4 linked regions of the Arabidopsis thaliana genome follow. The protein of the gene in region 4 purifies or fractionates together with the protein of the main gene of each other region. This does not show direct contact. Each region holds a gene or a part of one and is shown on either strand. Other genes may lie near its edges.

What was found.
Region 1: the proteins of AT3G44740 (region 4) and MTHFR2 fractionate together in Arabidopsis thaliana (co-fractionation; one large-scale study listed by BioGRID). This does not show direct contact.
Region 2: the proteins of AT3G44740 (region 4) and ALATS fractionate together in Arabidopsis thaliana (co-fractionation; one large-scale study listed by BioGRID). This does not show direct contact.
Region 3: the proteins of AT3G44740 (region 4) and AT5G57655 fractionate together in Arabidopsis thaliana (co-fractionation; one large-scale study listed by BioGRID). This does not show direct contact.

The regions. Positions count from the first base shown.
Region 1 is NC_003071.7:18,259,062-18,266,984, reverse strand, and holds MTHFR2 (methylenetetrahydrofolate reductase 2), read right to left. Parts: upstream 4,797-7,923; 5' UTR 4,685-4,796; coding exon 4,222-4,684; intron 4,137-4,221; coding exon 4,054-4,136; intron 3,975-4,053; coding exon 3,801-3,974; intron 3,494-3,800; coding exon 3,320-3,493; intron 3,241-3,319; coding exon 3,140-3,240; intron 3,043-3,139; coding exon 2,931-3,042; intron 2,766-2,930; coding exon 2,685-2,765; intron 2,588-2,684; coding exon 2,410-2,587; intron 2,317-2,409; coding exon 1,982-2,316; intron 1,884-1,981; coding exon 1,800-1,883; 3' UTR 1,639-1,799; downstream 1-1,638. Other genes in the region: histone-lysine N-methyltransferase ASHH3, read right to left, coding at 5,982-6,047, 6,144-6,192, 6,281-6,371, 6,462-6,501, 6,635-6,782, 6,865-6,945, 7,042-7,213, 7,307-7,385 and 3 more.
Region 2 is NC_003070.9:18,591,379-18,601,284, reverse strand, and holds the start of ALATS (Alanyl-tRNA synthetase), read left to right. Parts: upstream 1-2,805; 5' UTR 2,806-2,973; coding exon 2,974-3,268; intron 3,269-3,533; coding exon 3,534-3,772; intron 3,773-4,077; coding exon 4,078-4,218; intron 4,219-4,570; coding exon 4,571-4,717; intron 4,718-4,924; coding exon 4,925-5,077; intron 5,078-5,467; coding exon 5,468-5,597; intron 5,598-5,848; coding exon 5,849-5,945; intron 5,946-6,103; coding exon 6,104-6,224; intron 6,225-6,539; coding exon 6,540-6,599; intron 6,600-6,697; coding exon 6,698-6,748; intron 6,749-6,817; coding exon 6,818-6,913; intron 6,914-7,038; coding exon 7,039-7,140; intron 7,141-7,286; coding exon 7,287-7,409; intron 7,410-7,781; coding exon 7,782-7,925; intron 7,926-8,012; coding exon 8,013-8,084; intron 8,085-8,174; coding exon 8,175-8,250; intron 8,251-8,331; coding exon 8,332-8,474; intron 8,475-8,558; coding exon 8,559-8,667; intron 8,668-8,754; coding exon 8,755-8,942; intron 8,943-9,041; and 8 more.
Region 3 is NC_003076.8:23,343,600-23,351,322, reverse strand, and holds AT5G57655 (xylose isomerase family protein), read right to left. Parts: upstream 4,649-7,723; 5' UTR 4,294-4,648; coding exon 4,234-4,293; intron 4,130-4,233; coding exon 4,025-4,129; intron 3,917-4,024; coding exon 3,842-3,916; intron 3,731-3,841; coding exon 3,601-3,730; intron 3,517-3,600; coding exon 3,425-3,516; intron 3,208-3,424; coding exon 3,154-3,207; intron 2,951-3,153; coding exon 2,665-2,950; coding exon of another isoform or gene 2,603-2,664; exon of another isoform or gene 2,588-2,602; coding exon 2,354-2,587; intron 2,269-2,353; coding exon 2,198-2,268; intron 2,101-2,197; coding exon 2,060-2,100; intron 1,971-2,059; coding exon 1,871-1,970; intron 1,793-1,870; coding exon 1,643-1,792; intron 1,554-1,642; coding exon 1,518-1,553; 3' UTR 1,258-1,517; downstream 1-1,257. Other genes in the region: AT5G57650 (eukaryotic translation initiation factor-like protein), read left to right, coding at 5,038-5,060, 5,403-5,526; AT5G57640 (GCK domain-containing protein), read right to left, coding at 5,877-6,557.
Region 4 is NC_003074.8:16,294,353-16,300,992, forward strand, and holds AT3G44740 (Class II aaRS and biotin synthetases superfamily protein), read right to left. Parts: upstream 3,619-6,640; 5' UTR 3,336-3,618; coding exon 3,210-3,335; exon of another isoform or gene 3,082-3,209; coding exon of another isoform or gene 3,046-3,081; intron 2,966-3,045; coding exon 2,822-2,965; intron 2,701-2,821; coding exon 2,506-2,700; intron 2,403-2,505; coding exon 2,178-2,402; intron 2,103-2,177; coding exon 2,058-2,102; 3' UTR 2,048-2,057; exon of another isoform or gene 1,979-2,047; 3' UTR 1,521-1,978; downstream 1-1,520. Other genes in the region: HDA3 (histone deacetylase 3), read left to right, coding at 3,693-3,705, 3,940-4,010, 4,095-4,320, 4,427-4,462, 4,533-4,627, 4,754-4,907, 4,996-5,074, 5,170-5,233; AT3G44753 (uncharacterized protein), read right to left, coding at 5,674-5,767.

The sequences.
Region 1 (7,923 bases), on a different chromosome or scaffold from region 4:
AAATCTTGATAATGCTTCATACTGTAAGCTAGCTCGGCTTTCTTATTCGTTTTCAGTTTTGTTTCATGGCTGTTGCTTGCTGTGTATTCATGATTGAGCAATCAATTTTTTTGTGCAGACGATCAACAATGTCAGATCCAAAACTGAAGCCAGTGGAGGATGCACTAGTTACTGTTGCCAAGAGCTCACAAATTCAATTAGCCAAGGATGATACTTCAGGTGGAACCATAGTTGGAAGGTTACTGCAGTGCCAGTATTCAAAGACCCATAAGTTCTGGGAGACTCAACCTGTTGAGCAGTTTAAAGATATCCAGGACACGAGTTTGCCTGAAGGCCCAATTGAGCCCGCAACTTTGGTGTCTGAGGTCAAGCAAGAGCCGTACAACCTTCTTGGTCAATTCGAATGGACCATATGCGATATGAACTCTGACGATATGTGTTTAGAGATGTACAACTTTCTCAAGGAAAACAGTCCTGATGACAACAGATCAAGTATGAGTACTCCAAAGAGTATCTAAGGTGGGCACTGTGTCCACCTGGTTATTACCAGAGCTGGCATATTGGAGTCCGCGTCAAGACCTCCAAGAAACTCATTGCTTTCATCTGTGGCAGGCCAACAAGAATCAGGGTGCGTGATGAGGTTGTTAAAATGGCGAAGGTCAATTCCTTGTGTGTTCACAAGAAGCTCAGGTCTAAGGGACTTGCTCCTCTCATGATCAAGGAGTTGACTAGAAGGGTTAAGTTGCAGAATATATGGCAAGCGGCTTATACCTCAAGTCATATACTTTCTAGACCAGTTACCACCAGTCGAGACTGGGTCAGAATGTTGAACCCGAAGAAGCTAATCGATGTTGGGTTAACAAGGCTTCGTGACAGAATGACAATGAGCAGGACCGTCAAACTCTACAAGTTACCAGATGCACCGATCACTCCTGGATTTAGGGAAATGGAGCGACGTGATGTCCCTGCTGTTACAGCGTTGCTCAGGAACTACCTTAGCCAGTTTGCAGTTGCGACTGACTTTGATGACAACGATGTCAAGCACTGGCTTCTCCCAAGGGAAAATATTGTCTACAGTTACGTAGTAGTAAGCCCTGAAACTCATGATGTCACTGACTTCTGCAGCTTCTGCAATTCCTCTATAACTATCCCCGGTAACCGGAAATACACGACCCTGGAATGTGCTTATGCTTGCTGCAATGTAGCGACACTGACCTCGTTATCCCAGCTGGTGAATGATGCCCTAATAGTCTCTAAGCAAAAAGGTTTCGATGTGTTTTATGCCTCGGATGTGATGCAGAATGAGAGTTTCTTGAAAGAGTTGAGGTTTTATCCACTATGTCGACAGTCGCACTACTATCTCTACAATTACCGTTTGAGAAATGCATTGAAGCCATCAGAACTTGGGCTTATTCTTTAGTTTTGTTAAAACCACTGTTCCCGCTCCCCAATGTGAACAAACTATGATCATTAAACCAATGTGTAGCCTAAGATTCCTCTTCCTGGATATCATTTGCAAGTATTATAAACAAAAGTTTAAAGCCTTTTTATCTTTTTGCGTGTCTTTTTGTAGTTTTCCTCTGAACTATCAACACAAACAAAATTTGCCGAAGAATTGTTTGGTTTTGGATCTTTAAGGTAGTGAAACTGATGCCTTTTTATCAATAACATTACTTGCACATCAATACTGTTATGGTAGACAGATGTAAAAAACAAAATCCCAATATTTTAGAGAAAGTACAAAAGCAAATCTTGAAAGCAGTAGGAAACCGATATACTGTAGTTGTCTCTTGATTTTCTCAAAGATCAGCAAACACCGCGAATATGTCACCATTGATGTAATCGTTCTCCACCAAGCTTACCAAATAGTAGCTGTTCTTCACCTGCATTTTTGGATCAAAATGTCCATTAGTCATTTTAAATAAACCATTGTCAAAAACAATAACAAATATGATCAGATCAAGAAAAATATAGAACTTACCTCCTCGAGCAAGTTTCTGGAAGGGTCGGCTTCTGGGTACAAGTTAGCCCAGCTTCTTGACCAAGTCTCAAATGCTTCATCCTTCCAGACGTTGAAGCTAGCGGGATCGACAATGGTTGGTTGAATGATTTCCTTAGCCGGGAAAACTCCCCAAGTTACAGCATTCACATCAGCTTGGGCAGTGTTCGATACCCACTGTTCTCCTTTGTTCACAGCCATGTAAGTAATCGATGGCAAAGCTTTGCATTTCTCCACCACTGCATCTAATTTCTCCTTTGAGCAGAAGAACTCTAGATAAGCCTTTTGGTATACATATCCAACAGGACCTCCCCATCCTGCAAATCATACACAAGCACAAGTATCGATCAATCACGAATCAAAACTCTGTTTGCTATGAGAACAGAGATATAACAGGACTGATTCCTCACCAACAGTTGGGGAATCAGATCTCTCGGCGTTGACTGATGGTTGGCTATTGATGGTCAAGAAGCCTTTGGAGTTGACTTTTATCAGTTGCTCGTTTATTATCCTTGTCTCTGGCTGGAGTCCATCTAATTCAGACCAGGGACTGCTTTTAAGGTTTCCAAGGCAGAGCTCCTTGAATTTCTGTTATGTGACAGTTTTTTTGCAAGATTATTGTAAGCGTCTGCATCTTTACAGGTGAAAGTGAGGGAAATGTGTGGTAGTGAAAAAATTGTTCTACCTCCTGAATATCTTCAACACTTTTCAGTGGGACAACCCATTCTTGTTGAAGCTTCTTGTCACGTGCTCGCGGACGTGAGAACTGACAACAAAAGCATTTAGTTCAGCAAACAAGCTCACAAGAAGATGTTACATTTAACAATCTAGAGCAAATCAAAAAGACCAATCGAAGAAATACCCTTCAAAACCCCTTTGTTATGAAATCTTGAAAGAGAGTTGTGCAATTACAGATGATGTATTGTAGTACCTGATGATCCGAGAGTGCACCATATGAAGCACTGCGTGAATCACCCCACCGGCCTTGTGGGAAATCTTCCCAGCCCTTGGTTCTAGAAATGTAGCTCTTTGGACGGTTTGCCCTTCAAAAGATTAGAAGAAAGAACAAGTCTTATTTTCCCTGCAGAGTAAAATATGTGGCTAAGTATAATCAGAACGAGAGAAACTAAGCTCTGTTACCAGAAAATGGGGCGCACATCTTCCTTAGTACGGAAAACATTTGCAGGGCGTCTCCAGGGTAAAGAACGAGAAATTTTGGACTCATCAATCATACCAAGATTCTGAAACAACAACAAAATAGTAAAGCTACTCCACTATCAGTATCATGCTTTACATCAAGTAGAAAAAGTGAGGACCAACCATCAATATTGCAAGAGCAGATTTCTCCATGTTCAATGTGTAGAGATGAAGAGACTTGACTCCATGAGCCAACATCTTTTTACACATCTCTGTTCCAAGGTGAATACCATAGGCTTTCACAGCTTCTTCGTTATCCTTGATAGGCTCCAAGGCAGCCATCACCTCAACTGGTATCTACATTAATATAATCATATGTAAATTCATCTATCTTTTTTTCACAAAAAGCACAGCTGGTATCTACATTAATATAAAGAATTCTCTTTGAATAGCTATCCAACAAACACTTTCTCTGAAAACAATAATATAATCAAGTATCTCAATTTCATCTAGCTGATCACGAAACCTTAAATACACTTTTTTAAAAACATATCCTAAGCTAGCAAACAAACACCTTTATGGAAAGGCAACAAGCAATATCATTCATCTCCTAAAAGGTGATTCATTTGCAGGAACTGGTGTTTACTAAACGATCAAAACTTACCTTAGTCTTGCAGAAACCAGTCATACGCAAAAAGCCTCTGTAGTTATTAATAGGCATAATTCCAGGAACAATGGGACAACTAATCCCAATTTGCCGACAATCATTCACAAACTTGAGGAATATATCAGTATCATAGAAAAGCTGAGTAACAATCAGATCAGCTCCAGCATCAATCTGTTCCAAGACAAACCCAAATTCAAAAATTGATGCAGACATTTAAGAACAAAGCAAAACAAAAACAAACAAAACAAACCTTTTTCTTCAGATACTCAAGATCACTCTGATAAGCTTCATTAGACGCAAGACCATTCTCACCAATAACATCAGGATGCGCCTCTGAAATATCAAAACACATAAAAATCCAATCTTTAGCTACAAATCACACGAAACAAAGAAATCAAATTCGAATTCGAGACATTACCAGGATAACCAGCGACAGTGATACCAAAGTAATCACCATACTTGCTACGAATGTGATTAACAAGATCCAAAGCACAATCAAAACCACCTTCAACCTGAACAAACTTATCTTGACCATGAGGAGGATCACCTCTAAGAGCAAGCACATTCTGAATCCCATTAGATCTAATAGTCTCAAGAGCATGATCAATCTTCTCAACAGGCATGTTAGTACACGTAAGATGCATCATACTCTCAACACAAACAACGTTTTGCATCCTCGAAGCTATATCAAGCGTTAGATCTGCGGTAGATCCACCAGCTCCCCAAGTGATATCGCAAAACGTTGGACCATAAGCAACCATTCGATCCATTCTCTCAAAGAGATTGTCGACTCCATCTTCTGTCTTTGGTGGGAAGAATTCGAAGGAAAACGCTGTTTTGCCTTCGTCGGCTAATGACTGGATCTTATCTATCACCTTCATCTTCTTTTCGAAATGGAGAAGAAGAATGAGAGACAAAGGCGAGTTCTTTCAGGTTCTTCTACTCACTGCTTTATAGTAAACAGAGAGATTCCAAAATGTTTGGTGAATTTTAGACTTTACCTTACCCGTCCACTTCCTTATATTATTTTCATTTTTAAGACAAAATCATACTTTAAATAAAGTATAATTACATAATTTACATTTAATCATTGTTTTGTGCGAAAATCCATGTAGTTAGACAACATGAGTTACATTTTTATGCTTGACAAAAAAAAACATTTTTATTAAAGTGTTTATTATTCAAGAGATTTACCAAACCATTCTAAAGTGAAAAAAATGAAGAATCCGAGTTATTTGATATTAAGATAGTCGAGTTGATATTAGTAAACAAGATGAGTTACATAATTATTTTAAAGGAATGTGATTAGTAAAAGATTTACCAACCACAATTAGATTTGTCGTTATCAATCCCCAACCCCTGCAGTCTATGCTTTTTGAGTTGGTGAACCAGAACCACACACCCACATCACCCACCTACTACCAAAAAACCAATGATCCATCACTTTTGTTTAACAAAAATAATCTACTTTTACCAAAAAAAAAAAAAAAAAAAAAAAATCTAATTAAAATTTTCCGTTTTTCACTTACAGTGTATCTTTAAACTTTACAAAACTTTTTCCAATTTAAAACTGTTATGTTGTTTTAGTAATTTTTCACTTGTTTAACTCATTTTGCATTTGAAGGAATTTGAAACGTTAATCGCTAAAACAAAACTGGTCAGATTTTGCAAACACCGGCTTTTGTCGGCGACACCGACACAGTCACACTCACACAGATGCACGAATAAGAACAGCACATGCAAACAAGAACAAACCGGTCTTTGGATACAAATTTTTAAAAGCTAAACCGGATATGAGATTACCGGTTCTTACAAAGTCAATTACACACCACGAAGGTTCTTGCAAGACATCATCATTTGAGATCCCCATGAAAAAAGAAGGAAGGAGAAGAAAGTACAGATGTGGTTACACAAGTAGATATATGATATCTCTTATAATGGTTGTACAAACACAGGTCACAAGTTAGACGCAACAAACAATGTCACTGCACCAATCCCAGTCAGTCAGACCCGGGTTTTTTGGGATACCTTTAGTTTACCAAGACAGGTTATTTTGGTTTCTCAACTTCAAAGCAATCTGCAGAAACATAGCAGCCAGGGTAATTTAATACTCTATGCTTCTGGGAGTTTTAATGTTTCATTAAGAGAGTGAAGAGTATAAATCACCTGAAAACAATATTAGACAATCTCCCAGTCTTCTCTCGACATGTCGACAAACTCGGTAACACCATCCTCGAACATCACCTGGACCAAGTTTAAAGATGTTAACAGAGAGGTCTTAATTGAGAATGATTTTGCCAAGTTCGATGGTGAGGAACAAGTATTGGCTAATTGTAATACCGAGTGCTTTCTTGAATACTCATCAAAATGTCTAACGAGGCCAAAACACCTGAAAATCTCAAAAGATAAAACATTGGATGAGAAAAGCATAGAATGAGTCATAAAACTAATCCACGAGTTCAAAACTCAATAAATACCTATCACTCGTGGGGCGAGATAACCTGATCACCACACCAATGCAATTACGCGAACATGTATCCCTTTGACTAAGATTGTTCCATGATTTTCCTGGAGAAACATGGGAATCCAAATTACTTTCTTACAACCAAAACACAATAAGCTACTCTCGCAAATTGAGCAGAAAAAATCCAAACTTACCTGCATCTATGTGTCTATTTACAAGTCCATTTTGATGCACCTAACCAAAAGTGGGGAAAGAAAAAGAGTCACTTAGACCTCATCACACAAATTTTTCAGTGACTGTGAAACTATGCCAGGGCAAAGACGAGATATATATTTGATTCTTCTTTTCAGATAAAATTTGAAAATACCTTGGGCAGTGTCTGGGCCAATTCATGTGCCACTAGATTAAAAGCTTCATCCGAGGCTATCTTAGGTTTGCTAGGTTTTACACCAAGCTTCCTTCTGCAACCTACAGCCCCACAATGGCAGTCTTGATCTGCACCAAACTGAACAAACCTGCTCTATTTCTTAGTGTCACAACTCAACATAAAAACAGATATGTTACAAAGTAAACTGGAGAAGGAGGATATAAACTTACTGATAATCATAGGTCAAATGCTCTCCCTTTTTGATACCACGGGTGGCGAAAATGCCGATTCTGGTCTCGCCGTCAATTATCCTAATTGCAAGCAAAAGTAAACCAAATGATGACTTTTCTCTCTCAAGTATTCTAAACTAGGAAACAAGCACTAAGGGTTGACAGTTAACAACAAACCATTTCTGCATCTGCGTATTAGGGTTGCAGCTATGATTAATATATCTTGATTTGTTTCCCTTATGAGTAGCATCAATAACCATATCTCTGGTTATCTCACATAAATAAAAGTTTGTCTCGCCACGGTGTTTCATCTTCCAAAGCCTCTCTTCACAAGTCTTATCATCAATAACTACATTGAGCAAAGGTACGAAAAAAGAAAACAAATTAGACCATGGTCGCAGTATATTCAGTAGGGAGACAAAATATCAAATAGTCACATCACCTTCTCCAACATATTCAATGATAAACTCTCCAGCTTCGATTTCTTCTTCTGCCACAATCCCTGATCCGCATTTTTCTGTCTACAAGACACAACTAAAATAACAAACCGACAACAACAAAAATCCACTCTATCCAACCAAAACCAATCACACATTACCTGAATTAACTTCATCTTCTTGACATGTCGTTGTTGGAACGGCTTATTGTTACACTCACTCCCACACTTGCAACTTGAGGAACAGCTTGAGAATAGCATCCTAACACAAAAGATAAGGTTTTTTCCAGTTCAATGTACTTAAACAAGCAGATAATTATGGTCTTATATCAATGAAATGCTGAAATAGATAGATCAAGAAAAGTGAAATAAAAACAGAGGCATACCCACAATGGCAATTACTCCCACAGACAGTTGAAGAAGAACCAGGAGACGAGGAGGAGCAAGAACAGAAGATTCCATCATCTTCAACCCTCCTTTTGACTTTCTTCGTCAAGTATATATCTTTAACAAGTCAAGGCCAAAACAAATCTTGATCAAAGCTAAATCTGCAAAATGAAACAAAACCAAAACTGCAATTGCAAAAAAGGATACTGCGCCTGATGAAGATATAAGGAGTAGGT
Region 2 (9,906 bases), on a different chromosome or scaffold from region 4:
GAAGCACACCCCTGGGATCAGCATATAAAGCGACCAATGCTGCATATTGAGGTTAGCTTCTCTTTTGTTCTCAAGTTTGTCACCATTGTAAATGAGCAGCTGGAAAAGAAACAACTCTTAAGGGATATGCGGTACGCAGTTGCTGCAACTAGGGAGTTACTTCCGTCGTTGATGAACGACTACTAGTTTTCTGTGTCCAAATACTTTTCTGAATCAGTTCATCCGAGATCTTTTTTCCTTCTGTAAAAATAATAATATTTTTTCTTCTTTTTTTGCAGATTTCTTCTTATATCACAAGTATTCTCTATGGCTAGTCTCTTATTATATGCATCTATTTTGTCTACTGAAGACATAACTTGCAACATTTCTTGGAGTTTTTGGTCTTGATCAAGTATGTTTTTTCTGCCTCTCTGTGATTGAAACTGTGTTCTTTGAAAACTGGACTCAGATTGATTTTAGATGTGAATGACTCTAATCGAATTAGTACTGGTTCTTGTTGATGTATCTGACTTTCATTTTTAACTTTTTATTTCTTACAGGTTCATCCAGTTATCATCTGTAGCTGGATATGTGAAGTGTCTTCTTGCGAACTTATGTCTTAACTTTGAAATACTTTGAATAACGATGATAATTTGGAGTAATGATGGTAATTTGATCAAATTGTGTTTGGCTTTTTGGTGTGTCCATTTGCAGAGATATATTGCTTTTTAATAACGAGAAAAATGTTATTTAATACCCTAATTTTCAAATTATAACCGTTTTATACGTCAACTTTATATATGGTCATTTTAAACATGATGTTATCGTTGACCACCATTTAAACCATGAATATTTCGTTGACCAGGCCAAAAAAAATAGTCGTTAACGGATTATTCAACTCCCGTTAACACCTCCGTTAACCATTCTAAACGATGTCGTTTTCGTTACTATAAATCATGTTTTACCCTTTTATAAGCTTTTAAAATCCCTTGTAAATCATTCCAATGCCACTTACTTATGCTTAAAAAAACATTGTAAACCATGCTAGCCCTTTTTAAAAATCCTTGTAAATCATTTTATGCCACTTACTTATGCTTTAAAAACGATGATAAATCATGTTTTACCTTTTTATAAGCTTTTAAAATCCCTTGTAAATCATTCAATGCCACTTACTTATGCTTTAAAAACGATTGTAAATCATGTTTTACCCTTTTATAAGCTTTTAAAATCCCTTGTAAATCATTCAATGCCACTTACTTATGCTTTAAAAACGATTGTAAATCATGTTTTACCCTTTTATAAGCTTTTAAAATCCCTTGTAAATCATTCAATGCCACTTACTTATGCTTAAAAAACGATTGTAAACCATGCTAACCTTTTTTAAATCCCTTGTAAATCATTTTATGCCACTTACTTATGCTTTAAAACGATTGTAAATCATGTTTTACCCTTTTATAAGTTTTCAAAATCCCTTGTAAATCATTCAATGCCACTTACTTATGCTTAAAAAACGATTGTAAATCTTGTAAAACTATTGTAAAAAGTTTTAAAATGATTTACAAAGGTTTAAAAAGGGGTTTTAAAGTATTTACCTATGTTTTTAAAGACTTTATAAAGATTTTAAGAGGTTTTAAAATGATTTACAAGGGTTTTTAGCAATTACCAAAGATTTTAAAAAACTTTACAAGGTTTTTTAAAAGAGTTTTTAAAAAATTTACAAGGATTTTTAAAAGCATTTTTTTTGCTGGGAAACAAAATTTACGAGAAAAAATTTTGGCGGGAAATTTATTTTTGGCGGGATTTTTTTTTTTTTGGCGGGAAAAAAAGGTTTGGAGGTGTTCTTCAATGAATAGGGGTGCTTGATGAGGCTTGTATTAAATGGTAGAAGTCCATGGAGAAATCGAAGTGTTCAAAATCGGAGGTGTTCTTCAATGGAAGCTTTACTATGGAAATGTTTTGTTTCGTTAAAGATGAAGAAGAAGAACTTTAAGCGTATATAAGTATCTGTGTTTGTATAGAATGACAGAGAAATCTTTGCAGGTAGAGTGGTCAAATGACCTTTGATTTTTCTCAAATGATAGGGGTTCGAATCCCAGGTCTGTCATTTCTTTTTAAAGAAAAACGAAAACGACGTCGTTTAGAATGGTTAATGGAGGTGTTAACGGGAGTTGAATAATCCGTTAACGACTAATTTTTTTGGCCTGGTCAATAAAATATTCATGGTTTAAATGGTGATCAACGATAACTTCATGTTTAAAATGACCATATATAAAGTTAACGTATAAAACTGTCATAATTTGAAAGTTGAGGTATTAAATAACATTTTTCCCTTTTAATAACTGTAACCAATATGTAACAGAAATCCATCCAACCCAATTTGATCAATAGCGTAAAAACTCATTATTGTTATAAAATTTTAGGTAGTTTACATCAAAATAATATCATTCATTTTTTATACTATAAAAATAGTATTTAGATTAATATTTAACAAGAATAAGAATAATTTTTATATATAGATCATATCAATCCACATAATAAAAAGAGAAAAACTCAAATATGAAAAAAATTCAAGTAACAAAAATATATTAGAATTACATTTGGTTGATTGGAAAAAAAAAAATTACGTGTAAAACTATAGTATTATCTGAGAAACGAATACAAAAATTTGCAACAGTAGCAGCAAAACAAATTCAAAACTTGCGGCAACGACAACAGCAACAACAACAACGAAACAAACAATAACATGCGAGGCAGTCTCACGGCTAGTGGCAGCAAACCCAACAGTTTATCTAAACGAGAACCAAAATTTACTCTCGTTTTTTTTTTAATGTTATCCTTTGATGAACAAAATGTATTTTCCAAATTTTACTTTTTTTATTTTTTAAGTATTATCCCTTAAAATAATATATCTTGCGGAAAAGGAATCGGATTAAATAAATTTTAACGGTAGAAAATAGGATAGGAGGAGAGAGAGAAGGTCTTTTATTGGTTTGAATGAGATTAGTGAAGGCAGCTTCTCTTCTGATTTCTTCAACCAAACCTCCGTCTAGGGTTTTTTACTCTTCCCATCTCCGCCGCCCTTTTTTCTCTCACTTCCGTTTTTCTTCCTCTTCGTCGACGTCTTCCTCCGTCGCAGTCATGCCGGGTTCCGAACCATCGGAGACTCAGTGGCCAGCAAAGAGAGTCCGGGATACTTATGTCGATTTCTTCAGAGGCAAAGGCCACAAGTTCTGGCCATCAAGCCCCGTTGTTCCTCATAATGATCCTACTCTTCTCTTCGCTAACGCTGGTACGATAACTTCGATTCCTCATATCTGTTTTTGCCGATAAGATTGGGAATTTGTCCAAGTTGATCTATGGAATTCAGATTCTATAGAGTTGACTTATTCTGTCTTCTTTTGTCTTTGAAGCTTTGGGACTTATTCAAATTTCTCAATTTCAGTTTTGGTCGAAATTTTCTGATATTGATACTGAGCTATGTAAATTAAGTTCTCTTGATATGTCTGGCGAAAAATAGAATTATTAATGACATTGAAACTTCTCTGTTTTTCAAGGAATGAACCAGTATAAGCCAATATTTTTGGGTACGGCCGATCCAAATACTGAGCTTAGCAAGCTATCTCGGGCATGTAACACCCAAAAGTGTATTCGTGCTGGTGGAAAGCATAATGATTTGGATGATGTCGGCAAAGATACGTACCATCACACCTTCTTTGAAATGCTTGGTAACTGGTCCTTTGGAGATTATTTCAAGAAGGAAGCTATCGAATGGGCTTGGGAGCTCTTAACCAAGGTAATTAAATACCTGGGAAATTTGTCTCTGTTTACTTGATTTAAGAAAAATATACATGGTATTATTCAGTAAACTATTGTCTCCCTCCCTTGGGACGGTATGTCTCAATTTTGTTAAGTGATTCTTCTCTTTTCATTTGGTTGTACATTTCAGTTTTGTAAAGTGATTCTTCTCTTTTCATTTGGTTGTACATTTCAGTTAGATACCTTGTGACAGTATTTCATAATTTTGTAAAGTTACTATTCTCTTTTCGTTGAGGTTGTTTATTTCATTGAGGTTGATACCTCCCTGTTTTCATGCCTCAGGTCTATGGGCTACCGACTGATCGAATCTACGCTACATATTTTGGCGGTGATGAGAAAGCTGGCCTTCAACCTGATAATGAGGCTAGGGATATATGGTTGAAGGTTCTTCCATCTGGACGTGTGCTGCCATTTGGTTGCAAAGTATGTATTGATTATTTAAGATAATAACTTTTAATCTGTTACCTAATTTTTTTGAATCCACTACTCATTGATTTCCTCTCTCCTGAGGTTACTTCACAAGTACTTCAGCTAAGTTGCCTTTGTATTGTCACCATTGTTTCTTGTATATATTGACACATCTGTTTGTCAATGCTAACGACAACCAACTGTAAGCTTGAATGCATTTTGGCTAGGAATACGCTATCATGTTTGGTAGTTGGCAGGCTTTAAAAACCATTGTTTATGATTTACAGTCAAAATCTTGTACAAAATGTAAAACTTAAGGGTTTTTAAATGCTGTTTTTCTTTCATTTAACTTTTGATTAAACTGCAGGACAATTTCTGGGAAATGGGCGACACAGGTCCGTGTGGACCTTGTACTGAAATACATTATGATCGCATTGGTAACCGTGATGCTGCATCCTTAGTTAACAATGACGATCCAACATGTTTAGAAATATGGAATCTTGTCTTTATTCAGGTACAAACCCTCTCTGTCCCAATTGTTATTTAGTTCCATTTTACTAATCTTTATCTCAATATCACAATTGTTTTAATGATTTTGTAGATTGTGTTACTGAAAACTCTATATTGTGCAGTTAGCTAGATTGTTATTGCTCCTTTAGCTGTGCTATCATATTCCCAATTGTTTCCTCTGACTGGGATGTTACTTATGTCTTCAAAATAGTTCAACCGAGAAAGTGATGGCTCGCTAAAACCTCTGCCTGCTAAGCATGTTGATACCGGGATGGGCTTCGAGAGGTTGACTTCTGTTCTTCAAAACAAAATGAGCAACTATGATACAGATGTGTTCATGCCTATCTTTGATGACATCCAAAAGGTAATTTGTGAAAACTTCTGTTGATGGTTTCATGACAGCTGTTTAATGATGGTTTCATTGAGTTATTTTTGTTTGGCCTCCTCTTAGGGACGCATTTGTCACCTTAATTAGTACTATCATCATTTTAGTTCATCAATTTTGAAGTGGATCATGGGTTCTATGCTTTACGTCGAGACTCCGTCAATTGTTTTTGAATATTTCTGGTTTATTGAATTTGGATTTCATGATAAAGGCATTCTACTATGGGTATCCTGGAGATTATTCGTTGTTAGCTGTGTCACTTTTCATGTATTTTTCTTAGTGAGAGGATTGAAAAAATCTTCAAATTGCTCTGTTTACCCTAGTTGTTGCGAATCTTAAGTTTAGGTGTTGATGCTTTCACTTTTTTAGGCAACGGGAGCTAGGCCATATTCTGGAAAAGTTGGTCCGGAAGATGTTGACAGAGTTGACATGGCATATAGAGTGGTTGCTGATCATATTAGAACCCTATCATTTGCAATTGCGGATGGCTCTCGTCCTGGTATATACTTGGTTTCTTGTCTCAATCACAATTGTGGTGGTTACAGAAAATACAATCGTCTTAGTATTCAATCATTTATTTGAGTTCATACTTATATGTTCTCAGAAAAAGTGTTTTTGGTTCATTTATTCTAAGTTGGGCATGATGAGTTTGTCAATTTTCTTCCTCAGACAATCTGTTATGTTATACAAATAGAGGTTTGTTATTTCTTGTAGTCTAACAAGTACCAATTAATATACTATCTCTTGCAGGTAATGAGGGCCGTGAGTATGTTCTGCGGCGTATTCTTCGTCGAGCGGTTCGCTATGGAAAGGAGATCCTAAAAGCTGAAGAAGGATTTTTCAACGGGTAGGAAATTATGTTTGATTTTCGTTGCATGTTTTGTTTGAATATTGTTTCAAATATTGTTTCGTTGTAGCTGGAACGTTTATTTCTGTCTTGTATCTTTATAAATGAGCATATTTTTTTGACACATGTTTTATCTCGGGCTTTCATATTACCTGTAGGCTTGTAAGTTCTGTCATTCGGGTGATGGGCGATGTCTTTACAGAGTTGAAGGAACATGAGAAAAAGATCACAGATATAATTAAAGAAGAGGAAGCAAGCTTTTGCAAGACCTTGGCAAAGGTAAGGGCTGGATTTAATTTCCGTCAAAGCTTTGAACCTCTTATCTTATTTTGTTTTGGGTTCTTCTGGCTCGTCGCACTGAAGTAAAAGAGACAGTTCACAGCTTCAATCAGTGGCATGTGATATTTCTGTATAGATTGTTTCCAATTTCATCATTGTTCAGTTTTAATGATGGTTAGACATAATTATAGTATTTTCTATAGGGAATCTTTTTTCTGAAAGATGAATTGGCTTTACCTGGTCGTTCCTCCCTTTTTTATGTGAATAGGTGGTGAGTATAAGAACAGTTAGACTGATTATAAATTTTCACGGCAGGGAATTGAGAAATTTCGGAAAGCTGGACAGGCGGTTCAGGGGAATACACTGAGTGGAGATGTACGTATCGAATCATTTTTGTGATGTATGTTAGGCGTTGCAGTATTTTCATCTGGGATGTTTGAATTCTATCTCAACATGTTGTCTTCTCTTTGCAGGATGCTTTTATCTTATGGGATACATATGGTTTCCCGTTAGATTTAACTCAGGTACGTAAGTCATTTATACTTATTTCTGAATGTTCGTGTTATTTTCTAACTTTTATTCTCGGGGTTCAGTTGATGGCTGAAGAAAGAGGGTTACTGGTTGATGTTGATGGTTTCAACAAAGCCATGGAAGAGGCGAGGGAAAGATCGAGAAGTGCCCAGAATAAGGTGTTTCAACTTTCCTCTTGTTTACTTTCTTAAAGAGCGTTTAATGCCAAACTTACGTGTGACTATGAACGAAGTTTGCAATCACATCATCTATTAACCAATCTTTTAATGTCATTTTTTTATAGCAAGCTGGTGGTGCCATTGTTATGGATGCTGATGCTACATCAACATTGCACAAGGCTGGTGTTTCAGCAACAGATGATTCTTTTAAATACATTTGGTTCCAGGTTTGTCCTTTTATTCCAGAAAACTTGCATGTTGCACCTGAAATGTTCTTATGTTGGCGTAGAAATGAAGAAGTTAGGGCATATAATAGTAAATGGATTTTGCTTTAAAGAAACCTTTATTGGTACTCTGCCACATATCGCTGCAGGACCACGAGAGTGAACTAAAGGCAATCTATACTGGCTCTACTTTCCTAGAAAGTTCAGCTGCTAGTGATAACGTGGGACTAGTATTGGGGTCTACAAGCTTCTATGCTGAGCAGGGTGGTCAGGTAATCCATTTTATTTGATATGTATTTTAGTTTGCTAATTGTTTTTCATTTCTGATCATATGACTGGTGGCATGAAATTGCAGTCTTCAGTATGTTCATCTTGGATTTGTATATATATACAAATGTAGACATGGCAGTAACACCATGAACACAATCATATCAGAACTGCATTGTTTGAATTTATGTATCGGCTGGCAAATACCATGATATAGTTATTGTTGGTTTTGCATACTAATTTCTGAAGTTGTCGTTGACAGTCACATAAATATTTTTAGATTTCATATCCATGAACAAGGTTAAGCTTTTGATTCACTTCCAATCATCTATATGTATATAAACTCTGTGCCTCTAACATTTTTTCTCTGGCAATAGATTTTTGACACTGGACTTATAGAAGGCTCGTTTGGGACATTCAATGTATGCAATGTACAAATATTTGGGGGCTTTGTTCTTCACATTGGTTATCTCTCTAAAGAAACTGGAGAGGTATCTGTGGGTGATAAAGTGATTTGCAAGGTAACTCTCTGCATCAAACAGTGTTTGTCTCATTCACCATATTTGGTACTATCCAATTTGTTTCCACCTTCGTTTTCATGCGTATAGGTTGACTATGAGAGGCGTAAACTCATCGCTCCTAATCATACTTGCACACATATGTTGAATTATGCCCTGAAGGTATCCCTTTTCTATAATTTAAGTAACCTAAACTGTGATTTTCTAATTTTTTCTATTGGATCTGAAAATATTCATGTCCCATGAATTCAGGAAGTGCTCGGGGATCATATTGATCAGAAGGGATCAATTGTTCTTCCTGAAAAACTGCGATTTGATTTTTCTCATGGTACATTTTTGAATAAAGTCATTTTTATTTTGATGTGGATGGTCATCTTAATTGTCTGATGGGTTCCATAATTTCGAGTAGGCAAGCCGGTTGATCCTGAAGATTTGAGAAGGATCGAATCCATAGTGAATAAACAGATCAAGGATGAATTAGATGTGTTTTCCAAGGAAGCTGTGCTTTCTGAAGCCAAGCGCATCAAAGGTCTAAGAGCAGTGTTTGGAGAAGTAAGCTGTCCATCAGTTCTGTAGCTATACCTTTTTAGTTTGGTTTCTAAGAATTGTTAAAGCGTTCTCTCTTACTCTTTTTAGGTCTACCCCGATCCCGTCAGAGTGGTGTCAATTGGGAGGAAGGTTGAGGATCTCTTGGCTGATCCTGAAAACAATGAATGGTCATTGCTTTCTTCCGAGTTTTGTGGAGGTCTGTTTCCATTGGCATTAGCTATTGGGACCAAGATATTACGTTCTGAATAGAATGTTGAGTATAGGGTTATTTTGACAATTCCAGGAACCCACATAACAAACACCCGCGAAGCCAAAGCATTTGCTCTTCTATCGGAGGAGGGAATTGCTAAAGGTATTCGTAGGGTAACTGCTGTGACTACTGAATGTGCTTTTGATGCATTGAATGCGGCGTCCTTACTTGAAAGAGAAGTAGAGGATGCCTCCAGAGCGGAGGGAAGTGCATTGGAAAAGGTTTTCTCCCTCTCTTTGTCAAACTATTGACAAAATGAAGACGATGTCGTTACTTGGATTCACGTAAAACTTATTGTGTTTGTATTTGCACATTCACAGAAAGTTTCTGCTTTGAAAAGCCGAGTAGATGCAGCAATTATCCCAGCAGCTAAAAAGGCAGATATTAGGACTAAGATTGCTTCGCTTCAGGTTATAAGCTCTTTCAGCCTTACAGTCAGCAGCTTTGTCTAGATTTCCCTGTAATTTTGTAATCAAAGCAATTCTGAAGTGGCAATTATTGTTTTCCTAACTTCGCAGAATGAAGTAAGAAAAGCTCAGAAGAAAATAGCGGAACAAAACCTGAAAAAATCTGTCAAATTAGCAACAGAGGCAGCTGAGTCCGCAGCATCAGATGGGAAGACTTTCTGCATAATCCAGCTGGATGTGGGTCTTGATGCAGCAGCTGTGCGAGAGGCCGTTTCAAAAGTCATGGAAAAGAAGGTAATCCGTATTTTCTTACATCATCACTTGTACCATAACCTGTTCATAGATAGCAAGAAAGTTAAATTAACGTTTCCGTTTGATTAACCTTGCAGGGTATGTCGATAATGGTGTTCAGCACAGATGAAAGCACAAACAAGGCGGTTGTGTGTGCAGGAGTGCCAGAAAAATCAGACCAGTTTAAGCCGTTAGACGTCACTGAATGGTTGACAACTGCATTGGGTCCTCTAAAAGGAAGGTGCGGGAAAGGGAAAGGTGGTCTTGCATCAGGGCAGGTATGAGTCCTATTCTCTTTAGTCTACAATGTGATAGTATCATCTACAAAGAGATGTTAAATCTTCAACATGTTGTTTTGGTTTTAGGGAACGGATGCTTCTCAAGTGCAGGCGGCTTTGGATATGGCTTCATCATTTGCATCAATGAAGCTCAACTGATTTGGTCGGGAGGTTACATAATCTGTGAGGTCAGAATAACCTCTACTTAA
Region 3 (7,723 bases), on a different chromosome or scaffold from region 4:
GAAGATATATAAAAATATTAAAAGGTTAACATGGATCTAGAAAAATGTATTGAGAAATTTTAAAAAAGAGAAAAAACAAACAGCCGAGAGCTTTGCCGTTAATTAAACGTATGAAAATTTTGGTCACATGACAAAAAATGAAAAGATTATCAAGTTGTATGCTGTTAGGTGAGAGTACTATGTGAACGTTGCTGAAAAAGACAATTTGTAATAACCATCTTCATTATTCTTTTCGTAACAATCTATGATTTTTGATGAAATGTCTACGAAAACTTTGAAATCAAAGTTTATAATAAATAATTTTATGAAACAAACCACATTTTAGTGAATGTATAGCCCTGTGTTTCATATTATTATTGAAAACATTTATCAATAATTAACGCATTTCTTTATCAAAAAAAAAAAAAATTAACGCATTAACATTTTTGAAAACAATTATAAACGAAATGCTACTTATTTTATGAAATTAGCTGTTAAACGTTTTCTAATTAGTATATATGTAAATATCAACCCAGCTCAAAATTTTCTGCTTTGAAACCGTTAATCAACTGTTATGCTAGTCTGAAACACAGTCACATAAATGAAAACAGAGTAAGAATCATAGGATATATATTAATGTTATTAATAAGTTCCTCATTATTTATCATAAATTCATAATGTGAGCTTTCACGAGACTTTCTACTTTCGGCCACAATTCGACAAAAGAAAAGACTTACTACTTTTTGCCGACCTTTTTTCGAATAAAATATATAAAAATTAATTCATTCAACAACAAATAAAGAAATTTTCTAGAACCATCGACGGATAGTAATTAGGTTCAACATCATAGAAGACTCAATTATTGTAATACATCACGGTCGTCGCAAATACGAAATTAACAAAGTCATCACAACTATTTCATAGATACATCAAGTAGATAGGCTATGTTTCCCTAGTTTTCAAACCTTTCTTATCAAATACTATCAAAGATTTTGTCGAGAAATTTGTCAAATTAGGACTTTGAGTTTCCTTTAAATCTCAACAGAAAATTCTGAAATCATAACTAACGAAACGAAATGAATTGGATAAAGTTTTTATTGATGTTAGACCATTTTTAAGAATCAACGTTTTCAAACTCAAAACTCAAAGCTTAATGTGAAAATCATATATTGCTTTTCAAATTTTCATAAGGTAAGAAGAATTTTGATTGTATATATGTATATCGCTGTTTTAAACTTTCTCGTATAAAACCTCCTACAAACTTTACTATAGTCGAGTGAAGAAATAGATCGGAATTGCTCATTGGTCTTTGTCACAAAAACCGTAACTGAATCAAAGTAAAGGCCTAAACAGTTTTTTGTTATTCAATTTAAAGTAATTAGAGTGTGAAACCATAGTACATCAACTGAAATAATGAAACCAACCTCTCTAATCATCTTATTTTCCAATGTTTTGGTTTTCAAACTTCTCAAAGATGCGAGGGAAACTAAAAAAGACGATACTTTTAATAAACATAAAAAGCCTTCTTGTTCTTCTTCTTACATTGCAGATTGGAAAATCATCTCAGCGAGTTCCTGCAGATTTCGTTTCAAAAGACATCGATCATTGTGTGTTTTTCGTGTTTAACGAAACAAAACCAGAATTAATAGCAAGAAACTTGTACCTGTTTAGCAGAAGAAACCTTTGGTTCTCCAAACTCTTTAGCTTTCTTCTCAAGATACTCAAAATCAGCTTTTCCTTCTTCTATTTGCTTCCCAAGCTCAGAGTCCCAAGTTGCATATCGCTTGCGTACCAATTCACTTAGACTTCCCTCCTTTACCACACCGAAACCAAGTTAAAGCTACACTCTTTGGTTCTTTTATAAAACTTATCTATTCATATCTTAACTAACCTCCAAGATTTTGACTGCATTTCTCAGTCCACGAGCCATTGTATCCATTCCACTAATATGAGCAATGAATAAGTCTTCCACGTCTGTACTCTCTCTTCGCCTGTTTAATCAACCAAACATTATAAGCTTCTTTCTCGGTTTAATTTTGTATGAAACAGTAAAACATTGTGAATCAAGAATCGCTCTTACAGTTTAGCGTCAAAGTTGAAGCCGCCTGGAGCAATCCCACCCTGTTTCATATGTGAAAAACAGAAGCTCTTATGAGCTTACATTCAAAAATTTACAATGAAATTCCCAAAAATAGCGAGTTTCTTTAATATTACATACATTTTTGATGACACTCATCATAACCATGGTTGCTTCTCCAACATCTGTAAGAAACTGATCTGTATCCCATCCTGTTAAGAGAATGAGAGAACTTTGTTCAATCAGAATCTGGTTAGGAGGTGTTAACAATCAAGAGAGCTGAAATTGAAAAATTACCAGTTTGAGCATCGCCAGTGTTTGCATCAATGTTGCCAAGTAAACCATTAATTCTTGCAGTTTCAAGCTCGTGATGACAAGTGTGACCAGAGAGCGTGGCATGGTTACACTCAATGTTGAGCTTAAACTCATCAATAAGACCATATTTCCTCAAGAAATTGGCAGCTGTTGCAGCATCCCAGTCATACTGGTGCTTGGTGGGTTCTTGAGGCTTGGGCTCGATTAAAAGCGTGCCTGATAAAAAGAAGATTATTGTGCAATAACTCCCATAAGACTGAATACAGGACAAGAAAAAGAAGCAGTAGACTTACCTTTGAATCCAATCTTCTTCTTGTAAGCAACAGCAGCTTCAAAGAACCTGGCTAGATGATCAAGCTCTCTTCCCATATCAGTGTTCAAGAGTGTCTGATAACCTTCACGACCACCCCAAAAAACGTAGTTTTCACCACCTAAGTAATGTGTTACCTCCATGGCTTTCTTCACCTGAGCAGCAGCGTAAGCATACACTCCAACTTCAGAGCTGGTCGCTCCTCCGTGCATATAACGAGGATGCAAGAAAAGCTGAGCTGTTCCCCACAATGGTTTGATTTTGCTCCCCTGCATTTGAAGAAAACGAAGAACCTTTTTTTCTTAGCACATCAAACTAAGGAATGGTAACAAGATAGTACTGTTTCAGTGATAAAAAGATTCAATTATAAAATGGCATACATGAGTCTGTATTGGAGAATTGATTAACTACAAGAAGTATCTTCCAAAATCCAATGTGTAATAAGAACTGGAAAATTAACAAACTGAATCACCTTTTGGAGTTCTTTGGCGAGTTCGATAACTTCATCCAAGTTTTTGTTAGATTCCTGCAGATTAAGTATAAACAGGTTACAGGCGCTTTCTTTATGACTGAAACAAGTTAACATTGGGCCAACAAGAGCAAAACAAAGTTATCAAGTACCACAAGAAACAGCAAGCTGCAAAGGAAATATCAGGACCAAAATGGTTTATAACACCAGGCAATAAAGCAGATTGTAGTTTCAATGTAAAGCAAAATGGTGTAAGTTCAGAAGCTCGAGTTACCTCAAGTGTAGTGCCATCAGGTGCTATGTCTCTGTCATGAAAACACCACCAATCAACTCCAAGTTTCTTCAAGAACTCAAAGTTAGCTCTCACTGCATTAAACAACAATCAGTAACTCAAATCACAGTAACTCGATAACGAAGAGAAACTAACATAAAAACACAATCTGGACTTACTTCTTCTCTTAGCCATAGACACAGAGTTAGTACCATCTTCCCAAGGCCAATACTTAGTAGCAGCACCAAATGGATCACCTCCAGTCCCACGGAAAGTATGCCAAAACGCAACACTGAATCTAAACCAATCCTGTTCAAAAAATTCAGGACAACAAACAAACATCCCACACGTTTCTTCAAATCCATAAAAACATAACTCAAAAATTGTTGCAAGAAAATACAAACAAGAAAATAAAAGTACCTTCATTTTCTTCCCAAGAATCTCTTCTTCAGCGTTATACCACCTGTAAGCAAGTGGGTTCTTACTCGAAGGTCCCTGAAAAAATTCATCAACAACCAATTCATCTACACATGCAAACAACAAATCCACTAAAGTTTCCAACTTAAACCAACAGTTTTAAAGAGAAACATCACCATTGTTTACCTCATACTTAATCTTGGGGATTTCAGGGAAGAAATCACCTTGCCAGTCATCAGAATCACTACACTTGCCTCCCAAATCAGCAGGACATGTTGGTGGATCAGCAGACTTTACACACCAATCAAGATCAAATTTAAAAACTTTAATCTCGGATTATATTTCAATGATTGGAAGAACATTAAAAATTCGAGCTTTTGATTATTAAGTCTTACCACTAGAGATGACGCTGCGATGAAGCAGAGAAGGAGCATAAAAAACTCAACTTTCTTCATAGTTTTCAACGAACCTTGAACGATGGATGAAGCCCAAAACAAAGTTCTTGTAATAAAATCGAAAACGCAAGAGAGAAATTGAAAAAAAAAAAAAACTAAGCTTTGGAAGATTTGGATAAAAATCGCAAAGATAATATATATACAAACAGAGATTTTTTTAGATTTAAGTAAGTGATGATGATGATGATGATTAAGAATTAGTCACAGATAATGATGTGACGTAAGCAAAGTTTTGTTTGTTTTTGTGTGATTTTCAGTTTTGCCCCTTGACATAAATGAAATCGACGGTCGTGATTTTATAGGTGAGTTAAAGCAGTCGTACGTTTACTCTTTATCCGGAAACAACGTCGCGAATATCACGTTTCTGACTCAGCAAAATTATCCTTTTCTATTTTTAGGATCAATAATATTATGGATAGGTATTAAATCGAATTTTGTTGAGTTTTTTTTCATTACTTCCCAACAATAACATAATTTCGAATAACTACAAAGGGAAGAAAAAAATTCTAATATTGTCTGAAAATTATCTCACCCGTGAAAATGAAAAATTACATGTCAGTGTCCGTGACAGAACCGAGCACATTAAATGAAAATATTGCATGCTGATTAAAAAATGTTATGTTTAATCGGGCTAAAAATTTAACAAAAAGTCTCCTTATATTGGGACTTTAATATTTGGGCTAATTGAAGCATTTTTCCTCAGTAAGACTCTCTCTCCCCAGGCATTCAATTTGTTTGGTTTGGATGATATCGAAACTTACGATTTGGTGAGTTTCTGTTTGGATTGGCGAGCAATGCATGTTTTAGTTTTCCTTAGTGTTAGATCCTTCAATATTATTGCTGGCTTTTAGGGATATAAACTGATATGTCAAGGCAGATACATAAGTGAACGAGAGGGAAGTTTATGATAGTGTTAGGTCAGTAGTAACTTAAGCTAAAAAAGATCTGCTTCCTTGAGTTAATTGATCTTTTTTGATTAGCTAAATAGATCTGCTTCTTGAAGCACTTCAACTGTAATAATTTTATACTTGTGTGGTTTTTTAAAAGTATTATATTGATTTTAGCAGGACCTGATTGTGCTGATGATACTACTGCTCTCTGTTTCTTAGGTTTGATCGTGACTGGAAGAAGATTGAAGATTTTGTTGAAGATCATCTTGCAGTGATTACCACTGATCACTTCATGGACCGTATGGCTGCTATTCATGTTGAAGCGTATTGCGGAAGATCCTGAAGACCACTGCTGATGACTTTTATGTGCCAAAGGAATGTGCTTCTTTCTTTTACTTCTATCTCTTGTTTCAAAAGTTGAGCATAAGTACTACTCAAGTCTCACTTAAGATTCTATCATTGGATAAAAACTCTTGCACAAAGTCTTATCTTAAAAAAAATCAAAATGTATATTAAAATGGTCTTAGTTTTTTGTAGAAGAAGGTGATTACGACAGTATTTTATAGATGCATCCAAATTACATAACCAATGGTGTATATAAGAAGACACACCTAAACAAAATTAAGAGTAACGAAATTTGAATTTTCATTCAGATCAATGTAAGTCTCAATATGCTCATAAAAAAAGCTTTACCTAATTCTGATTCTGATGATCACTCTCATTACCCTCGGATCCCTCTGCTTCCTTCTCCTTCTTCTTTCCAGCTTCCAACTCGCGAAACGCCTTCCCGATCGCTGCAGCTTCAGCAGGCAGAATTGGCTCAGCATTCTCTTCTTGCAACCCGCTAAACGCCCTCGCAATGACTGCAGGCTCACCAGCCATAATAGCTTCCTTTTCCGCGTTCAACAACTCGCTCAACATCTTGGCCATCGCTCTAGCCTCACCAGCAAGAAGGGGCTCATAGTAAACAGGGTTATCATACATGCAAGTCTTAAAGATGAGTCTTGCCTCCTTACATTTACTTACGTGATCTTCATTGTTCTTCTTTGCTTCGTCGCAACAATTCTCCAATTCTGTGAATGCTTCTTTACACTCACCTCCCTTTATGAACTGGCATAAAGGGCACTCTCCACTCTCTTCCTCTGTTTCATCCAAATCTTCATCTAGGGTTTTAGATTCTTCCTCATCTCCTTGATCTTCAATTAGGGTTTTGGATTCCTTCACATCTACTTGATCTTCACTTAGGGTTTTTGATTCCTCCACATCTCTCTGATCTTCAATTAGGGTTCTAGGTGATTCGTCGTCCCCATCTCCCTGATTTGTCGAAGGATCTTCCTCTGTTTTAGCTTCAGCCACAGAGTTTATACTTCCCATAGATGACGGATTTAAGGTTTTTGCTACACAAGGTTCTTGCTCACTCTAAAAACCTCAATTGCTGAGTCTTCTTTTCTTATAAAAAGGGGGACACAACTTGGGAAAATTTGCCATTACTTGTTTTTTCTTCAAAAATGAATCCGAGAATTATTCCAAGAATGGTATTGTTTGATATTGATTCCCCATTTTCCATATTCACTGTATTCGATGAGGATTTGTTTCCCTTTTTAGTTTTTTTTTTAGTTGTTGCAGAGGCAATTTTGACTCTCTTTTTTTCCAAAGACAATTAAATATTTAAATCATTTAAAGGGATCCTATCATTTAAAGTTAAACCCTTCTATAGGCTGGAGGAGGATATGGAAAATGAGAAATGATCTTTTATTTAATAATAGGAAGTGGGCAATACCGGAGGTAATAAGTAAAGCCATGCTTTGACTGTAAATTGTGGTTCGAAGCTGTGAATATGGATGGATTAGACGTAAAGCATAAACAGGAAGCAACAAAGAAAGTGCAAAGTCTGAAAGAAAATGGAATAGCTCAAATTAATTCTTAAGCAAGCTAATTCGTATTGTTGCTTCGTTGATGGTTCATGGCTATCTCCAAACCAACCTGCAGGTATTGGATGGGCACTTCGTGATAAGGACCGATATATTGTAACTAGCCCAACTCAAATAAAAGGACCGATATATTGGGCCGATAAATTAGAGTCCAGTGATAACTTTTTGTTTTGGTATAAACAAGTGAATAATAATAATAATATCTCCTAGTTAGACCAATCGAAAAAACAAATGAAAAAGCTTTTGTAATCTATGAAGTTTGTTTTGGATTATAAAAAAAAAAAAATCTATGAAGTTTGTTTTCGAGTGGAGAAATAAAATATATTAAAAAATATCTTAAACGGTGAGATATTTTATCTTGAAAAATAAATATCTTGAGAATATGTACTTTCAGAAATCAGTAAAGCCAATGTAATCCACTTGTGGACAAATTTGAAAAAAGCCGACAAAATACTTTTCTAAAAAAAACTGGCGTCTTTGGAATGGTATTTTTGTTTTGAACGTTAAAGATTAAAATTTAAACACTAAAAATATGTTTATTGAAAAAGAAAATCCTAAAAGGATATTGTCGAAAATTAGATATCTTCCAGCAAATTTAGAATCAATTAT
Region 4 (6,640 bases):
GGTCAACTTGCAGTTTACCAATGTGACCCAAAGTCTTACCCATTGGTCAAATCGAATTACAAACATAGCATGCAAGCACGAGCGTTTCATTTTATTAATAATTCTTATCTTGGTTATTTTTATATAGATACTATTAGTTTTTGTTTTGTTAATTTCGAGTTATTGCATTTTTAATATTTGTTGTTTCTTTTGTTATTGCGCACTCTTAAATGACTTGGAAACTAGACTACAATAATACACATGAAATTTTCTTTTGGTTTTAATAACAATGATAATTTTCTTTTGGCTAAATAAAATTGATAATTAATATTACCATTATCAAAAGTCAAAACTGAAACAAATTGTAGAGTTACGACTTCAGCTTCTATATATAATCTATTTTTTTAATATCAGGCGAGAAATGTACCTGCACAGGATGATTTAACATGGCCATAACCACTGCATAAGTTGTAATCATGTATTAGATTTTTAAAACACCAATATCTTCTAGTGAATTTTGAAAATGATTGTGATAACGATGCTGTTTTGTTCCATTATCTTTCAAACATTATAAACCAGTAAGACGAATATAAATATTAGAGTTTCAAGTTATCTATATATAACACACACAAAAATGTTTCAGACACTTATAATTGATATAATTAATGTATATGGATTTGTGCACAACAAACAAAAAATGACTTATTCACATGCAAGTTTTTGGGAATTGCTAACTTTGCAACCACGTATATGTGTACAATTGAAAAGTCACATAGAATGACGACTGCATAGACCTATATTATTAAAAAAATAAAAATTGTCCATTTTGATCAAGAATGATGGATCATAATTTGATGTATATATACGTATGATGATTATAAAATCACATATTTTGGGAGACTCACGTACGCCTTGAGGAGACCAAGACCAACCCTAACCCCAAAGCTTAATCGCTTTAGCAACGACAAGGACAAGACACCACTTACTTCTATGGAATCTTTACCACAATGTGTGTAATAATCTAACAGCTGAGTAGAATTTGCTCACACTGATACTACATACAAAATCTAATTGTATCAGTCATTCACATGTGAAATAATGTATGATTTAAACGAAAATTATGTGTATAATAATTAACGTAACTGAAGATAAAAAATATAAAATAAATATTTGCTTATTTTATGTGTGTTAATTGGAGATAAGAAAAAATTGGTATTTTATTTGAAATCGTGGTAGAAAATTTCTCAAAAGTCGTACTAATGCCTTGAGTTTTGATCAGTTTTGAGTTTTTTTAGTTTTTTTTTTTCTTTTTCTAATTGTGTGCCATTTGTAGTGTTTAGGTGTCTTTTATGTGTACATAGTTGTCTATCGATTCATTCAAGTTCCAAACTGCTTTTAGAGAAAAAAAAAAGGGGGGCATTAATTGGGGATGTTATCGACATAAGTATGTGTATATGGGATGTGATGAGAGATTTTTCATTGCTGGATGGAGCTCAAATTTGGCATATACTAGAAAACTGAGAGAGTTTTATTTGGAGGTGGTTTGAGATCATTCGAATGGTTGAATACTTTTTTAGAAAACAGATTACTTTTGCGAAATTTGTTTGAAAACAAATTTGGCATATACTAGAAAACAGATTTTGAACCTTTTCTCTAGTTTAATCTAATCATGAATTACTTTACAGTTTCTTTTGTGTTTAGAGATTGACACCATATTCTTCTTGATGCTCACGTTTCTCTTTAGGGTACATACGTAAAACTCTACTTCCCCTTTGGTTTCCAAGATTGCTTTCATCTCCATAGCTTATTGCTCATTCATCGCCTAACAAAACATTACACGAAGCATGTTGTTTAATGTAAACCAACATCATGAGACAAAGAAATATGTCAGTAAAACAATAGATTTCAGTCACTCTATATCTAAAGATTTAACGACATGCTTTTGATTTCCCTTGAATGCAAGAACCAGTTCTTTCTTCACAGGAGTAATCACAAGTTTCTGAAATAACAGAGAACCCATATTAAGAACAAGCTATAGAGACAGAGATGAACATGTTGACTTGATTACCTCTACTTCTTTAGGTTCTGGAAATTTCTCTCAGCCACAGAGCAACTTTTCCTACCTACGGGTTTTGATCATCAATTCTCTAGCTGTCAAACGAAATGAAGAAAATACAAGATAAAAGTAAGTTTCTTACCGAGTGGGCACGTAAGTCGAATGCAGACCTATCTGCTATACCAACACATTCAATCCACCCATATGAACTCTCAAATTCAGCATCCAAACAATCTGCAGCATAGCGGGCCATTTCATTTGCAAAATGCTGGCGGAAACGCAACTGTTCCTTGTCTGTGCCAAGACGGACAAGGAAAAGATACACTCTCGCAATGAAGTAGCCTACAGTTTCTTTGTTCACAGTTCCCTATTCAAATACAGTTGCAGGCATCAATAAGCAATTAAGAAACAAAAGGTCTGAGGGAGTGCATACTAGAAGTAAGTAGACGCAGATGATTACAGATACTGACCTTGGCAACAACTTCGCCAAGGCAAAGTTTTTTCGCAGATTGGCCAGACATTTGTTCCTCTCTTGGAAACATAAGGAATTCAAAATTTGCTACATCAGAGAATTTCGGATGTGACTTATTCCCAGGATCAACAAAATGCTCAATTTCTGCCAGCGTGAATTCACAAACTCTAAGAAGCCCTTGACGATGAGATATCTGCAAGTAATATGCGTCACTTATTAAAAGCCAGACATAAAAGAAAGAAAAAAGAGTCCCTGATTGAGATAAACACATCCAATCTATCAAGCAAAGGAATAGAAAATTAAACGATAATCACCTCATTTCTAAAGGTTGACCAATTTGAGCAGCAGCAAAGGGAAATTTCCTCCCATTGTAGTAATACAAGTCCTTCACAAAAATGCCTTGTTAGAGTGTTCTTCGTGTCTGGAGCAATAATCCTTAAGCAAGTGGTCCGTCCGCACTGTAACAAGTTCCAGTTTTCTCATTCTTAACCATTAGATCAGTGAACTGGTCTACATGTCCAGATGCCTTGAGAACAACCTCTGGTGTCACACATGGACAATCCACTTCATACATATTCTCCTTAAGAATGAAATGCTATCTGAGAACAAACCTAAAACAATCTCTACTCTTCTCTATGAATCATGTCAAATTTGTCTCAATTTCTACTCAAAAGAGAAAGGTGAATGATGTTCCGTACTTACTTGACGCCAGAAGCTAAGAACATTGGATTTAACAGCACAATCCTTAATCAAATAGTCCGGCGACGTCACGGTTGATTTTGAAAGAAGGGATATAGAACAAACGCCGCTCGAGAGTATTAACCACATTTTGTCGAAATCAGCAGCTCCATGGCTGCATCAATCGTGAAGCCTTGAGAGCTTGAAGACATTCCCCTGAGCTTCGACGGAGGAAGATTTCGCCTATACTGATTTCCGCCGTTTGAATTTGATCGGAGCATTTTGTTTTTTCACAAACTTTCATATCTTTAACGACGTCGTTAGTACTGAAGAAAAACCCTAAAGAGTAAAGACCCTAACGGCGTCGTATTAAAACCCTAAAACGGCTTCGTATTAAAACCCTCTGTCTTATAAATAATCTCTTAAAACCCTTTCTTCTTCTCTTACATTTTCAGCTGCTCATAAACCCTAAAAATCCTCTCTTTTTCTCAACCTTGATTCTTAGCCATGGAGTTCTGGGGTAAGAATCTTCTCTGTTTTGTCTGAAGCTTTTTGGGTTTTTCTTAAAATCTGTTTTCGAACTCTCTTGTGGCTGCTTCCTTGTGTGGTGTAGTTGTGTAGCTTCATCTAGGGTTTTAAGTTGCAATATTCTCACATAGAAATGGTTATATTATATAGGAATTAGTGTGGTAGTGTATAACTTGAAGCTGTATCTTGATACTCATGTTGGTTTTTGTTAAAACGATGTAATCAGGAATTGAAGTTAAATCAGGAAAGCCAGTTACAGTGACTCCTGAAGAAGGCATTCTTATCCACGTTTCTCAGGTTTAGTATCAAATCTTATTGATTTTGATTCTGAGAGTTGTTAGAGGTCTAGTGTAAACAATCTTGGATTGTTTATCTGTGTAGGCATCGCTTGGAGAATGTAAAAACAAGAAGGGAGAGTTTGTGCCTTTACATGTAAAGGTTGGGAACCAGAACTTGGTTCTGGGAACTCTATCGACTGAGAACATCCCTCAGCTTTTCTGTGATTTGGTATTCGACAAGGAGTTTGAGCTTTCTCACACTTGGGGAAAAGGAAGTGTTTACTTTGTTGGATACAAAACTCCCAACATTGAGCCACAAGGCTATTCTGGTGAGTTTGCAAGATAAAATCTGTTTCAATTCAATTATTCTGTTTGTAACTGTAATATTGGCTTGGTTGCTGATGATTCGTTTATGTGTTGTATTGATATATTCAGAGGAAGAAGAGGAAGAAGAGGAAGAAGTTCCTGCTGGTACTTAAACTAGACAGAGACTACTTGATTTGTGATCCTGATAATTGGTAATAACTAGTTCCATTTGCAGGGAATGCTGCCAAGGCTGTAGCTAAACCAAAGGCTAAGCCTGCAGAAGTGAAGCCAGCTGTTGATGATGAAGAGGATGAGTCTGATTCTGACGGAGTGAGTTGTTATAGCTTTCTGTGATTTGTCTCTTTTTGTTTACCATTTCAGAATAATGACTGAGGAGATGAGACATCTTTTTTGAACAAATGTTGGTGACGCATTCTTGTGTTATGATTCTTGCAGATGGATGAAGATGATTCTGATGGTGAGGATTCTGAGGAAGAAGAGCCTACACCTAAGAAGCCTGCATCAAGCAAGAAGAGAGCTAATGAAACTACCCCTAAAGCACCTGTGTCAGCAAAGAAGGCGAAAGTAGCAGTTACTCCTCAGAAAACAGGTATAGATACAAACCATTCTCTTACATTATTCACTAAATTGGGAAACACGAGTATTCATTTGAACCTGCATCGTCTTCTTTGGCACAGATGAGAAGAAGAAAGGGGGAAAGGCTGCAAACCAGAGCCCAAAGTCGGCCAGTCAAGTCTCATGTGGTTCATGCAAGAAGTGAGACTCTCTCTCTTTCTCTAACTCTTGTCTTCACTGCTCAAAATTTCTGTTTGTTATAACATTTCGCTTGTTGGCTTATATCTCTTTGGCAGGACTTTCAACTCAGGGAATGCACTTGAGTCTCACAACAAGGCCAAGCACGCTGCTGCCAAGTGAAGTGGTTTCTTATTAGAGCTTGTGATTTCTATGGAATTTTGCCTGTAGTCTTTATGAAACCTTCGGATTTTCTTATATTTTCTTTTGATAACAAGAGTCTTAATGAAAGAGAGCCAGTTGGAGTCTTATTACCACTATATTTCAACATTCTATCTTGGCTCAAATGTGTTAATTTTAGATTCACGTTTTCACCATTTTCTGTTTCCACAAATCTGTTGGCCAATAGCAGAGTTTATTAGAAGAATAAATGAAGGTTTCACAACATTAAAAATGATCAATCCTTTAAGCCAGCAACTAATTTGAAGAACAAATATCCTCTGTTTTCATTATTACGGTTCTAGTTTCTTCACTGCTCTTAATGCTAAGTGTATGATTGTATGATTGCATTACTAGACTCAAGCTTATAGCGTGGTTCTTTATCGGCTTTCAACTTTTAACAACTATCTTTGCCAATCATTTTCACAAGGCTCATGTTTTGGAGGAAACATTGACAGGAGTCTTTCACCAGTTTTTTTAACCCCAAAGGTTAAAAACCTGCCAACAAGTATTTCATAATAAACAATTTCTCTGGAAACAATTACTAACAAAGAAATTGAAATCTTTCAAGAAACCAGAGAACTAGTATCAGCCACGGTTACAAAATTAGCTTCACACACGAAGAAACACAACACAAAACCAGAAACTACTGATTTCTATTAGGAAATTATCAGAGCAATCAAACTTGAAAGACTGGAATTGGGCAAAATAAAGCATGATCATTTAAAAATGAAATAGTACCTGTTAAAATGTAAATCCATGAACAATTGTAATTTATAGTAATCTGTAGAAATATTGTTGATCAACGAAAATTGTAATTGAGCACTAAAGATTTTTTCTCACTTCTCAGACACTCATAACAAAAGAAATATCTCATATCAAACCACTACTAAGCGATCATTACAAATCAAGTAAGATAATCTTCCAAGGACAATCAATAACCATCTCTTTTCGAGTTCATCATAAATTTCAAAGTTAGTAATATCATATTTTTTTAATTAATACATAAACCACACAAACAAACAAGGTATTCAAGTTAGCACTAAACTACTCAACACAGAGATTAAGGTAAGAAAAAACCCATGTAACAAAGCAAGCAAATACTACACAACAAACAACCGAAGAAGTCATAACTTCAAAGCATAAACCACCATAAACCACACAAGCACATATTCAAGTCAGCATATTAGACCATACAATACACAGATTTAAGTAAGTACAGATCATGCGCAACTAACAAAATTCAAGCCATAGCTTCAAAGCATAAACCATGGTCCACATAATAGTCCATAAAACAACCAATAAAATCATATTCTCACATCTAAATGTTCGTAACAATACTAAACAAGTAAAAGGTATCTTTTTCACTTT